Linked DNA regions of Macaca mulatta. The protein of the gene in region 2 interacts with the protein of the main gene of each other region in a pairwise test. Links are inferred from orthologs where the notes say so. Each region holds a gene or a part of one and is shown on either strand. Other genes may lie near its edges.

What was found.
Region 1: the proteins of RAB4A (region 2) and GRIPAP1 interact in binary tests that used the Homo sapiens proteins (3 or more experiments, as listed by UniProt). The link is inferred for Macaca mulatta from reciprocal best matches to the Homo sapiens genes RAB4A and GRIPAP1.
Region 3: the proteins of RAB4A (region 2) and EXOC5 interact in binary tests that used the Homo sapiens proteins (3 or more experiments, as listed by UniProt). The two-hybrid records come from large-scale screens. The link is inferred for Macaca mulatta from reciprocal best matches to the Homo sapiens genes RAB4A and EXOC5.

Annotation. Positions count from the first base shown.
Region 1 is NC_133426.1:49,071,180-49,074,829, reverse strand, and holds part of GRIPAP1 (GRIP1-associated protein 1), read left to right. Parts: intron 1-3,071; coding exon 3,072-3,222; intron 3,223-3,650. UniProt on the Homo sapiens protein: Regulates the endosomal recycling back to the neuronal plasma membrane, possibly by connecting early and late recycling endosomal domains and promoting segregation of recycling endosomes from early endosomal membranes.
Region 2 is NC_133406.1:19,774,712-19,779,037, forward strand, and holds the start of RAB4A (ras-related protein Rab-4A), read right to left. Parts: upstream 2,842-4,326; 5' UTR 2,646-2,841; coding exon 2,615-2,645; intron 1-2,614. UniProt on the Homo sapiens protein: The small GTPases Rab are key regulators of intracellular membrane trafficking, from the formation of transport vesicles to their fusion with membranes.
Region 3 is NC_133412.1:130,322,500-130,325,679, forward strand, and holds the end of EXOC5 (exocyst complex component 5), read right to left. Parts: intron 2,813-3,180; coding exon 2,704-2,812; intron 2,531-2,703; coding exon 2,315-2,530; intron 1,553-2,314; coding exon 1,364-1,552; 3' UTR 573-1,363; downstream 1-572. UniProt on the Homo sapiens protein: Component of the exocyst complex involved in the docking of exocytic vesicles with fusion sites on the plasma membrane.

The DNA.
Region 1 (3,650 bases), on a different chromosome or scaffold from region 2:
GCGTGAGCCACCGCGCCTGGCCAAAAATGGTATTTCTAAGGCTCCATCTGAGAATATAGTGCCTGTGACCTTAAAAAAACAAAACTGAAAATAACCTTTAAGCAGATACAATACCAGGAGAGGCAGTTGAGCAAGTAGTAGTTACCAGCAGGGACTCTGTAACCAGAAGGCCTAGATTAAAATCTTGGCTCTACCTTTTACTAACTGTAACCTTGAGGAAGTTACTTAACTTGCCTGGTTCTTGGTTCCCAAATGTTTAAAATGGAAGTCATGATAATAACAGTACCTGCCTCCTCACAGGGCTTTTGTGAGGATTAAATGAATAAATGTATGTAAATCACTTAGAACAGAGCCTTGCACATAGTATCAGCTATGGAAGCATTAGCTATAATATTATCCTTCTATTAACTCATCTTCCCTCTAAAATATTTGACTTTTTAACAGTTTTGTGGCCGGGCATGGTGGCTCACGCCTGTAATCCCAGCACTTTGGGAGGCCAAGGCGGGCGGATCATGAGGTCAGGAGATTGAGACCATCCTGGCTAACATGGTAAAACCCCGTCTCTACTAAAAATACAAAAAATTAGCTGGGTGTGGTGGCATGCGCCTGTAGTCCCAGCTACTCAGGAGGCTGAGGCAGGAGAATCGCTTGAACGCGGGAGGTGGAGGTTGTAGTGAGCCAAGATTGCACCACTGCACTCCAGCCTGGGCAACAGAGCAAGACTCTGTCTCAAAAAAAAAAAAAAAAAGTTTTATATCCACCCTGTGGCCCTGCTTTGCCTTAGTCTCTACCACCTCTCATCTGCTGTTTCTACAGCCGCCTCCCTGGTGTCTTCACTTCTAGTTTCTTCTACTTAGTTCACACCACAGAGGCTGTTCTGACCTGCAGATCTTACGACATCACTCCTTTACATAATACATTCCAGTGCCCCCGGTCCTGTCCCTAGTTCAGAGCCCCTGGTATTCACATAACTGCTGGCTTCACCGACTGACTCCTCACTGCTTCCTGCCTCCAGCCTCCATGGTATCATGATTCTTGCAGAGTGAGGCAAGGGCAGACATTCTTCCATAAATCCAGCTTGTTTCCCGGCATCTGCCCTGGTCCAGCACTGGGCCAGTTGCAGAGACTTCCTGCATAGTCCCTTTCCTCCTCCAATTCCTCCCAGGAACTGGAAGTGCTCACAGAGAGAGCTACGTTAAACCTGCCACTACCCCTTATTCACCAAGACATTTCAGCTCAATTGTTCCTTCAACAAATAGTTACTGAGTACCCACCACATGCTCTATGTTCTGGAAATACAGTTGTAAGCAGCACAGAATGATCTTCACTCTTAGCTTACCTTCTGGGGGTGGGATGGGAGAAAGATGATAACAGTAAACAAATAATGCTAGTAGTGATAGCTGACATTTATATGGTGCTTACTTTGTGCCAAGTCCTGTTTGAAGTACTCTACATTATTCACTCATTTAATCTTTGAAATAAGCCTATGAGATAATCAGTATCCCTATTTGACAGATGAGGAAAACTGAGTTCCAGGGAGATTAAGTAATTTGTCACACAGCTAGTAAAAGGCAGAGTAGAAATTCACATTCAAGCAGTCTGTTTTCAGAATCTGTGCTTGTTACAAAAGAAAATTGTGATTAGTACTAGGTAAGAAAGAAATGAACAGTGCTGTGACAGAGAGTACTGGAATTTTCTCTGTTGAGGGATACCACTTTAAAGGTGACATCTGAGCAGAGCACTGAAGGATGCAAAGAAGCTAGTTATGTGAATAACTGGATGAAAGGATTGGTGTTCTGGGTAGAAAATATTGCAGGCAGGCTTGGTGCGGTGGCTCACGCCTGTAATCCCAGCACTTTGGGAGGCCGAGGTGGGTGGATCACCTGAGGTCAGGAGTTCGAGACCAGCCTGGCCAACATGGCAAAACCCCATCTCTACTAAGAATACAAAAATTAGCCGGGCATGGTGGGACGTGCCTGTAGTCCCAGCTACTCAGGAGGCTGAGGCGGGAGAATCGCTTGAACCTGGATGGCAGAGGTTGCAGTGAGCTGAAATCGTGCCACTGTACTCCAGCCTAGGTGACAGAGCGAGACTCCATCTCAAAAAAAAAAAAAAAAAAAAAGAAAAAGAAAATATTGCAGGCAATAAAATAAAAATTCTCTGTAGGCCTCGATATTCTCATATGAAAATGGGGACAAGGGGCAGGGCGCAGTGGCTCACGCCTGTAATCCCAGCTCTTTGGGAGACCGAGGCAGGCGGATCACAAGGTCAGGAGATCGAGACCATCCTGGCTAATACGGTGAAACCCCATCTCTACTAAAAATACAAAAAATGAGCCGAGTGTGGTGGCAGGCGCCTGTAGTCCCAGCTACTCGGGAGGCTGAGGCAGGAGAATGGGGTGCACCTGGGGGGCGGAGCTTGCAGTGAGCCGAGATCGTGTCACTGCACTCCAGCCTGGGCGACAGAGCGAGACTCCATCTCAAAAAAAAAGAAAATGGGGACAAGGGATTTTCTCAGGACTGCTTTGAGAAGTGTACTTTAGCCAGGAATTGGGCAGAGGTCTGGCTTAGTTTTATTGGCATTGTATACGTCTCCAAGACTAACGGCTGGCAATGCAGGAGCTGTCATCAGTGTTGGCCCTGGAAATGACCTGCAAGCTCTTTGTGGTGCTTAGGATGAGAGGGAGCTAACTCTGGGCCCAGGATCCAGCCCTCCACAGAAGAGGGGTGGCAGTGAGGCTGTCTGTAGCACTAACAACCTCCAGAGGAGCCTGAGGTCTTGGATTGCATCTCTGAGGTTGGAAGTAGGAAGAGGAAAATGGTTTTTGGTGTCCTCATACTTGGTATGCTCTTGGTATTTTCTGACTCTGCCACTTAAAAGATGTGTGAATTTGAAATTGTTTAACATCTCTGTGCCTCAATGTCCTTATTTGTAAAGTGGGAGGGCACCTACATCATAGGGCCATTATGGGAATTGAGTGAATTGTAAAGTACATGGACAAATGCTATGTAGGTTTCAGCAAATACTGTTCTGATTCTCTGCTTCTCTGCCCCTTCTCTTCCTCTGTTCAGCTCTGCAGCCAGATGGAACAGCTGGAGCGAGAGAACCAGCAACTGAAGGAGGGGGCTGCAGGAGCAGGGGTTGCCCAAGCTGGGCCCCTCGTGGATGGGGAGCTGCTGAGGCTGCAGGCTGAAAACACAGCCTTGCAGAAGAACGTGGCAGGTGCATAGAGGCCCTCCTGGGGATGCGGGGACCTTGGGGCTTGAGTAGGGCAAGAAAGGCTGTCATCCTCTCAGGGGGAGGAGAAGGGCTTCAGAAATAGGGTTGGCCCATGCCCTGTGTGGCTTTGGACAAGCCATTTCACCTCTCTGAGCCAAAGCCTTGTCATCTACACAGTTCATGTAGTGATGTCTGTCACCCAGAAGATTGTAGTAGAGATAAAAGGTAATATCATTCTGCATTAGTTCAGTGTCTGATACCTAGCAGATGTTACAGATTAGCAGCTTGAATGTCAAAAAGGAGATATTTGCTAAGTGGAAAAAGTGAATGGAGTGTTGGGAAGATTCTGAGCCCAGATTGTAAGTGGGGTCTGGGATGAAAGCTGAAAGAAAGCTTGATAGAGTGTGGGAGCATGTGGTATGTGGAACTTT
Region 2 (4,326 bases):
CTCTGTCAAGCTACACAGAGCCTCCTTTTACAGAAGAGCAAATGAGCACAGAGTACAAAGGAGTTTAAAGGTTAGACAAACATTCCTTCACCAGCTCAGAGGCAAATATCCAGAAGGGAGCCTGACTGTTTCACTTTTAAGGAACAATGCCATATAAATATGGCCACTGATATGTCCAAGTGACAGCCTAGGACTTGGTTCTAGGTGACTTTTACTTCAGCTTGGCAAACTTCAACTGTCCTGCTTGCTCCTTCTAAAGCCCATTTTCTTTTTTTGAGAGTCTCACTCTGTCATCCAGGTTGGAGTGCAGTGGCGCAATCTTGTCTCACTGCACCTTTGCCTCCTGGGTTCAAGCAATCTCATGCCTAAGCCTCCCAAGTAGCTGGGACTACAAGCGTACCACCATGCCCAGGTAATTTTTCGTATTTTTAATAGGGTTGGGGTTTCGCCATGTTGGCCAGGCTGGTATCGAACTCCTGAGCTCAAGTGATCTGCCCCCTCGGCCTTCCAAAGTGCTGGGATTACAGGCGTGAGCCATCACGTCTGGCCTCATTTTCTATTTATTAGTTTCTACTAGTTTTTGATTAATTTCCTCTATTAGAAGAAAAGATTCAATTCAGAATTGCAAAGTAAAAACATACTTGGAAGTTATCATGAAATAAGAATACTAATGGTTAAAGCCTTATGATCAGAATGCAATCAATCTGTGAAGCTCAAAAGTTCAGTTAACTGTGTCTGAAGTGGAGATGCCAAAGATATGCTCTATTTTATCAGTTGTTATCATTGTGTAAACGAAAAATGAAACATAAAAGGTCCTTTCTTACTGATTCATGACCCCCACTTGCTTTTCTTCTTTGGACATTCCACCCTTCCCTTGTGCTCTGTGCTCCTTACTCAGGTTAAAGAAACTCAGCGTGGGCTAAAGAGCACTTGAAAATAAAGAAGTGCAAAGATGCAACCAAAAATTGCTAAAGAGCATGTTTTCCTTACATTTCTGACTGTGGTCTCTACAGGAAGAACCAGACCACTGCCATTTGCAGAAGCATTTGCAAACACTTGTCCTGATGAAGGCATCGACTTACTGGAGGATTTCCTAAGCCTTCTAGGAACAGATGTCATGCCCCTCTGTCACCAAGAACAGGGCAGTACCAGTCACAGGAGTCACTCACTGAAGGTGGACCAAAGGCACTGTGACCCCAGCATGGAAGCCCTTCCAAAAGTTCCCATTTTTTCTTACAAGACAGACTCACGCCTTCCTCAAGGCCCTCTCCTCTCTGTCTCCTCATCCATCTCTCCAGCGTGGTGCTCAAAACACACCCTTCTTGAGTTGCCCTTCCCACAGGCCTGAGATGTTCTGTGTGTTGCCTGGCTAATGCCTCCCCGACACCCCCTGTCTGGGTCACCTTTCTTTCTAACACACTTTCACGGACCACACTCCTTAAGAACTCTTGGCTGGTTTTTAATTATTCACTCATTAGTATCACAATTGGATGAATACTGCATTCCCTCAATAGACGGTACGCTCCATGAGACTAGAGCCGTGTCTGCTGTCTTTCTGCAGGACTTACAGCCCTCCCAGCACGGTGCCCGCTTCCCTGATGCCATTCCACAGTATTTGTTGCCGAGAAGGAGGCAGCACGCCAGGACAGATGGAGACAGGACTAATTTGGCTTGAGGTATGTAATTTTGAACTTGAGCCTCTCTCTGGGACTGTAAAACTCCAAATCAAAGTCTTAATCTGAGAATACACACATCTGAAAGACTGATTAGGGACTGGTAAACATCTATTAATATTCAACTCTGAAAGAAAGTACAAGTTGTTTATTCTTACCACGCAAGGCCAAAAAAGGGGAGGAAAAAAAAAAAAAAAAAAACACCACACAGTATATGCACTGGGAAAGCTTTCGCTTATTCAAAACAGTATTTGTCGAGCACCTCCAGGTCTGGGTGCTGCAGGGGAAACAAAGATTAAACAGCCAAGGCTTTGCTTCCAAGGTGCTTACTGTCTTAAGGATACAAGGCATGTTTATAAATAGCCAAAATGCAACTCAGAAAAGACTAAAAAACACTGAGAGGGAGGGAGAAATAAACGAAGAGGTCTCCGGAGGAAGAGATGAATTAGTCTATCAGAAACTCCTCACCGTAATCCCAATGTAAAGCAAGGAATTCCAAACCAGGAAAGGTCAAACTTAAGTATTTGAGGAACACAGGCGTCGCCCTAAGCCCTTCACACGGCTCGCTGGGGATAATATAGCAGCTGAAACGGAACATCAAGCTGGCTTTCCAAACCTTCAGTTATTTACATTAGACTGAGAGGGGAAAAGCGCTAACAGTGCAGGCGCAGAGAAAGAGCAAGAGGAAACTTGAAAAGGCGGATCACTCCAATGCGCTGTGCACAGCCCCGCCCGCGCCCGGCGCACCCGCTACCCCACCCGAGCTCTCTGCGGCCCGCGTCCCCCATCTCGGTCCTAGGCCCAGACACTTCCGAGACCCGTCCCACGGCTCCGGCCGGCGCCACCGCCACCCTCAAGACCCCCGCAGCCCAAGCCCGGCCCCGCGCCGGCGACGCCCCCCGCGGCCCAATCCGCGCGCCCAGCCAGCCCGGGCCTCGTACCGTAGGTTTCGGACATGGCCGTCTGCGACATCTTGGGAGCGGCGCCGCCTCTCGCCGGGTCACCGGCTGCACTCGCCCGCGGTCCGCTGGCGCGTCTCGCTGGGGAAGAACCTGGGGCGGGAGACCGGAGGAGGGAGGGGCCCGACCGGTCCCCACGGCAACCGCCGGCCTCCCAGCGGCTGCGGCCCAGCCGGACTCCAGCTCCGCGCAGGCGCAGGGACCTCCACCCTCCGTCCGGCCGCGACCGCGAGGAGGAAGAGGAGATGGGCTACCCGAGGCCCGGCCCACGCCGCGTTCGCGCGTGCGCACGGGGAGGCGGGGGCGGGGCGCATGGGGACTTCGGCGCGCGCCGGAAGCACGTGCGCGGGCTGGGTCCCCTGGCTGTGTGCGCCGAGGCTGGGCGAGCGGCGGGTGGGGGCGTTGCGGGCTGAGTCCCGATTTCCCTCAGGGAAGGCCGGGTAGAGGCAGGCGGTGGGCAGGTTTGGGGGTGACAGAGGGCTGGGGACAGTGGGGTCCAGTTACCGAACAGAGGAGGAAGGTGCCTGCACTGGGGAGGAAAGCAGTCCATTTGCCACACTGGCCCGTCTCAGTTAAAGACATTGTCTTCGGTCATCATCTGAGGCTGTCAGCCAGGAAGAAACTTCCCTGACGCAGTTACGATCGAGGCCAGAACTTGGTTAATGTGTAACAAGGGGGCAGTAGGCCCCAGGTGTCCAGCCAGAGGCCGCCCTGTGAATGGGAGGCGGGTTCATTTACCCGTTGGGAAGCTAAGCTTTCACTCCAAACTGCCCGGCCCTCTTGAATGGAGCTGAGCAGGTGTGGGCAGAATGACAGAAGCTCAAGATGCCCAGATGCTGAAGGGTCATCGCAAGACTACAGACAGCAGCCTCTCCACATCCCATTTTAGAGGGTTCTGGATTACGGCTGAGAACTATCTCCTGGCCCCCAGCTGGGGATGTGTTTCCAAATTTAGGAGTTTTTTTGTTTTTATTTTTTAACAGGGTCTGGCTCTTGTCAGCGCAGCCCTGTCGATTCTCCCACCTCAGCCTCCTGAGTAGCTGAGGCTAGGGGCACACAGCACCACACCACGCCAATTTTTAAATTTTTTGTACAGATGGGGTCTCGTTATGTTGCCCAGGCTGGTCTTGAACTCCTGAGTTCAAGCATCCTCCCTCCTTGGCCTCCCAAGTTGCTGGGATTACAGGCGTGAATCATCTCACCTGGCCTTGGATAGTTTGGTTTCAGAAGCAAAACTGAGTTAGAATCCCCTTCTGTGGGAAATGTAGAGATAAACATTTATGGGAAAGAGAATTTTGGTTGAGGATTTGGCCCATCTGAGCTTGATCAGGGCCACATAGCGCCTCATAGTTCCCAACCTTGTTCACAATAGGTTGTCGAATGCTCAAAATATCCCTGGCTAAGCTCCCAAGTGACCTGGACTGTGTGGAAAATGCCAGTACAAAGTTTTTTTTTTTTTTTTTCCTGAGTCAATTTGGCTCCATCCTCCACATTGGCATCAGAGCTTCCCTCTTCCCCAGGGGCTATTTGGGTCGGTATTTTTCTCTTCTTTCCCATCCTAATAACAAATAAATGCAGTTTTTTTTCTAAACCACAGAGAAGGCCCCATGGTGAAAGGTTGTGAGAGCTGCAATTTCCTAAAATTGTTTTGTATATATTTCTTGTTCAATGGCTCAGATCATTTTTTGCTTTCT
Region 3 (3,180 bases), on a different chromosome or scaffold from region 2:
GTTCTCAGAAGAAAAGCAGTTTTCCAAAAACAGGCTTAAAAGCCTGTATTAAAGAAAAAATGCCAAGAGTGAGTAACACTTAAGTTTATCCTGTTCCTAGAAGACTATGAACAACACGATGGGAGCTGAAACATTACATATAATTTAGAATGCATTCTCCCAGAGCAAGTTTACAAGGTTTATAGAATAGCAATGGCCTTTCTAAATTTTCACTTGATGTTCAAAATTTTATAAGTGATTTAATACGTCATCAAATTAAGTCAATTCCATTAACTATATCCAAGTAGGAATAACTTCAGAAATGCTTTGAAAAAGGACAATGACAGACCTATAGACATGAAAAGCAACCAGTCTTTGCAAAGCTCATCTCCAAATCTATCGATTCCTCTTAAAATAAAAGACTAACCACATATTCAGCCATTCCATCTTATTCAAGTTTAGCATTACGACAGAAAATCTTAAAGGGCTGCATTGTTGCTAAACACTGTCAATATTTCTTATATGCACTATTTAGACTATACCTCACTTTTTTTACTTCCCTTATAATATTAAAATAATGAATAAATATGGTCCTTTAGTTAAGGTCCTCCACCTTAAGTGAAATATAAAATAAGGTAGTTTTATCAATTTCTTACTAGAATTGGCTTAAAATCTATTTACCAAATAAGAAATAGTAAACTTTTAAGTTTTACCCAGAAAGCAGAAGTATTCTGATCCACTCCTAATGTCTACATAAAATATTTCATCATTTTAGTTCAGTTTATGACATTTTTTGGACTAGTACTAATGTTGTCCCTCAGAAAAAAATCCAATCAACCAACTACAGAAAGTAAACTTAATTGTTAACCTTTTGAAAGAGGCAAAAAAATTATTTATGAAAACCTAAAATAACCTGATTAACAATTGATGCTGAAAAGGTCATTAAAAACTGAGGAATAATAAATGTAGTTTTCCTGTATTTTGCCCATTATTAATGGAAAACAGAATGGCAAAATTTCTAAATGGAATATGTTAAAGGTACAAGAACCGAAAACACTGGTAACATTTCCTTTGCCTTCTGACAGCAACATTTTCTAGGATGAAAACAGTGACATGTAGTTTTAAAGAATCTGAAATTTCTACATTCAAGAATGGAATTAAAATTCAACATAAGGGGAAAAAAGCAAAATATAGTTAGTGGTATCCAAACTTTAAATAAAACCTCAAAGGTAAGTATGGCTGCTGTTTTGTTCCAGTCACTGTTTCACAAAATGTTGGCTGTGTCATAAGGTATCTCCTGTGCTTTCTATCAACCGAGGCCTGCTGAAGTACAAGAAATTCCTCTGTAAAGGAACTGACATTGAATTCCTTTGTAAATTCAATCTCAGCTGAAGTGTCGAGCAAGGCGGGCAGATCTATAATCAGCACGAAGTTGTACGAAGGAGTGAAGTATATTCTTGTCCAGATTAGCAAGTTGTTCTCCTGAGCAGACTTGCTTTAAATTATCTGGGGCAACTACCAGAAGATTGCAAAGAGCATGCAGAGTATCAAAAAGATGTAATACCATTGGAATCTGAATTGAGAGAAGAAAGAAAGTAACATTGAAACAAAACAGTTTCCAGTTTTACAATTAGCTTCTAACTTCTTACATACTGTCAGGTGGGACTTACTAGTGTGCGTGGAGTTCAACATATTAGAATTTTTTTAAAGATCACAAAGCATTAAAACTTAAAGATTTCGTAGTTAAATAAACTTACTATAATATTTCAAAAAGATTCATATGTCAATTCTCTTCAATGTAACAATCATATATACTTCAGTGGACTAAAACTAGTTATTAATATATAGCATTTTTCATAATTTAAATGTTACAGAAAAATTCAGAGGGACATAAATGAAGACAACGTTATTTTCCTAATGTGTGACATATACAGCATTAGTCATGGATGTCAATAAGTCAAAGACTGTGGAACTGAAAATACACCGTGAAGCAAAAATGTGTTTAATATTAAATATGTGGGCCACGTGTGGTGGCTCATTCCTGTAAACCCAGCACTTTGGGAGGCTGAGGCAGCGGATCACTTGGGCCCAGGAGAGACCAGCCTGGGCAACACTGTGAAACCCTGTCTCTGGAAAATAAAATAAAATTTAAAATTTAAAATTAAAAGAAAATGACTGGAACAACACTGTTTCAGGTAGAATGTGTTAATCTATCTCATACAATATCAACAAAAGTTATAAACCTTTCACTAATTGTAAGTACATAGTGATTTTTAATGATCTGACTTATGTTCCTGGGCCTATTTGCAAGATTGATGTTTTTGTATATACATACCTTGAAGTCTTTGGCACACTTCCTATATTCAGCTACATCACAAATTGCCAACATGCCACCCATACAACTGTAGGAATATTGTTGAAGATGCTCATAGATAAGTCGATGAAAACGTACTCCAAGTTCCATCAAAACTGTATCCACATTCTTCCCATCCATGGAATTTTTAATCTTCTCCACTTGTTTTCTTACGTAAGCACAGACTTTTACACAAGCCTATAAAAGTTTTTCTACACTCATTACACAGAAATGTATACCAGCTTAGCTAAAGAGGAAATACATAAGTTTCTCATTAATCTGTAAGTATAAAAGAAAAAAATCTAGGGCACAGTAGGATACACCAATGAAAATGTTAGCAAAGTATTAACAAATTGAATCATTTTACTCACATTAGTATATTGAATCAAAACATTGTTTTCATCTTCTGGCTTAAAATCTGTTTTCTTTTGTTCTGCAGCCAAAATATGCTTCATCTGTCCAATCATACAATTTAATGTCCTAGAGAATTGAGAACACAACATTCTTTAACTCATCTAACTTATTCTATGTTTATATTTAATTATATTATTTATGCTAAATTAAATCAGTTATTTAATATCCTATCACCATAAAACTCTTTCACTATTGGTAAACTTTAGATATTAGAAAAAGTCAGCTCTAGATCTTAATATGAAAGAGCTCTTGGTTTTATTATCTTTCTGCTCAAAACAGAGGGCAAAAATTCTTTGTGCAATACTTCAAGATTCAAAGATCTCAGAAGCCTGTCACTAGTTTAATTTCTTAACAACTAAGGATCTTCAAAGGCAAAAACCACATACAAGTTAACTATCCCTTTCTCAAAATTCTTGGGACCAGAAGTGTTTTGG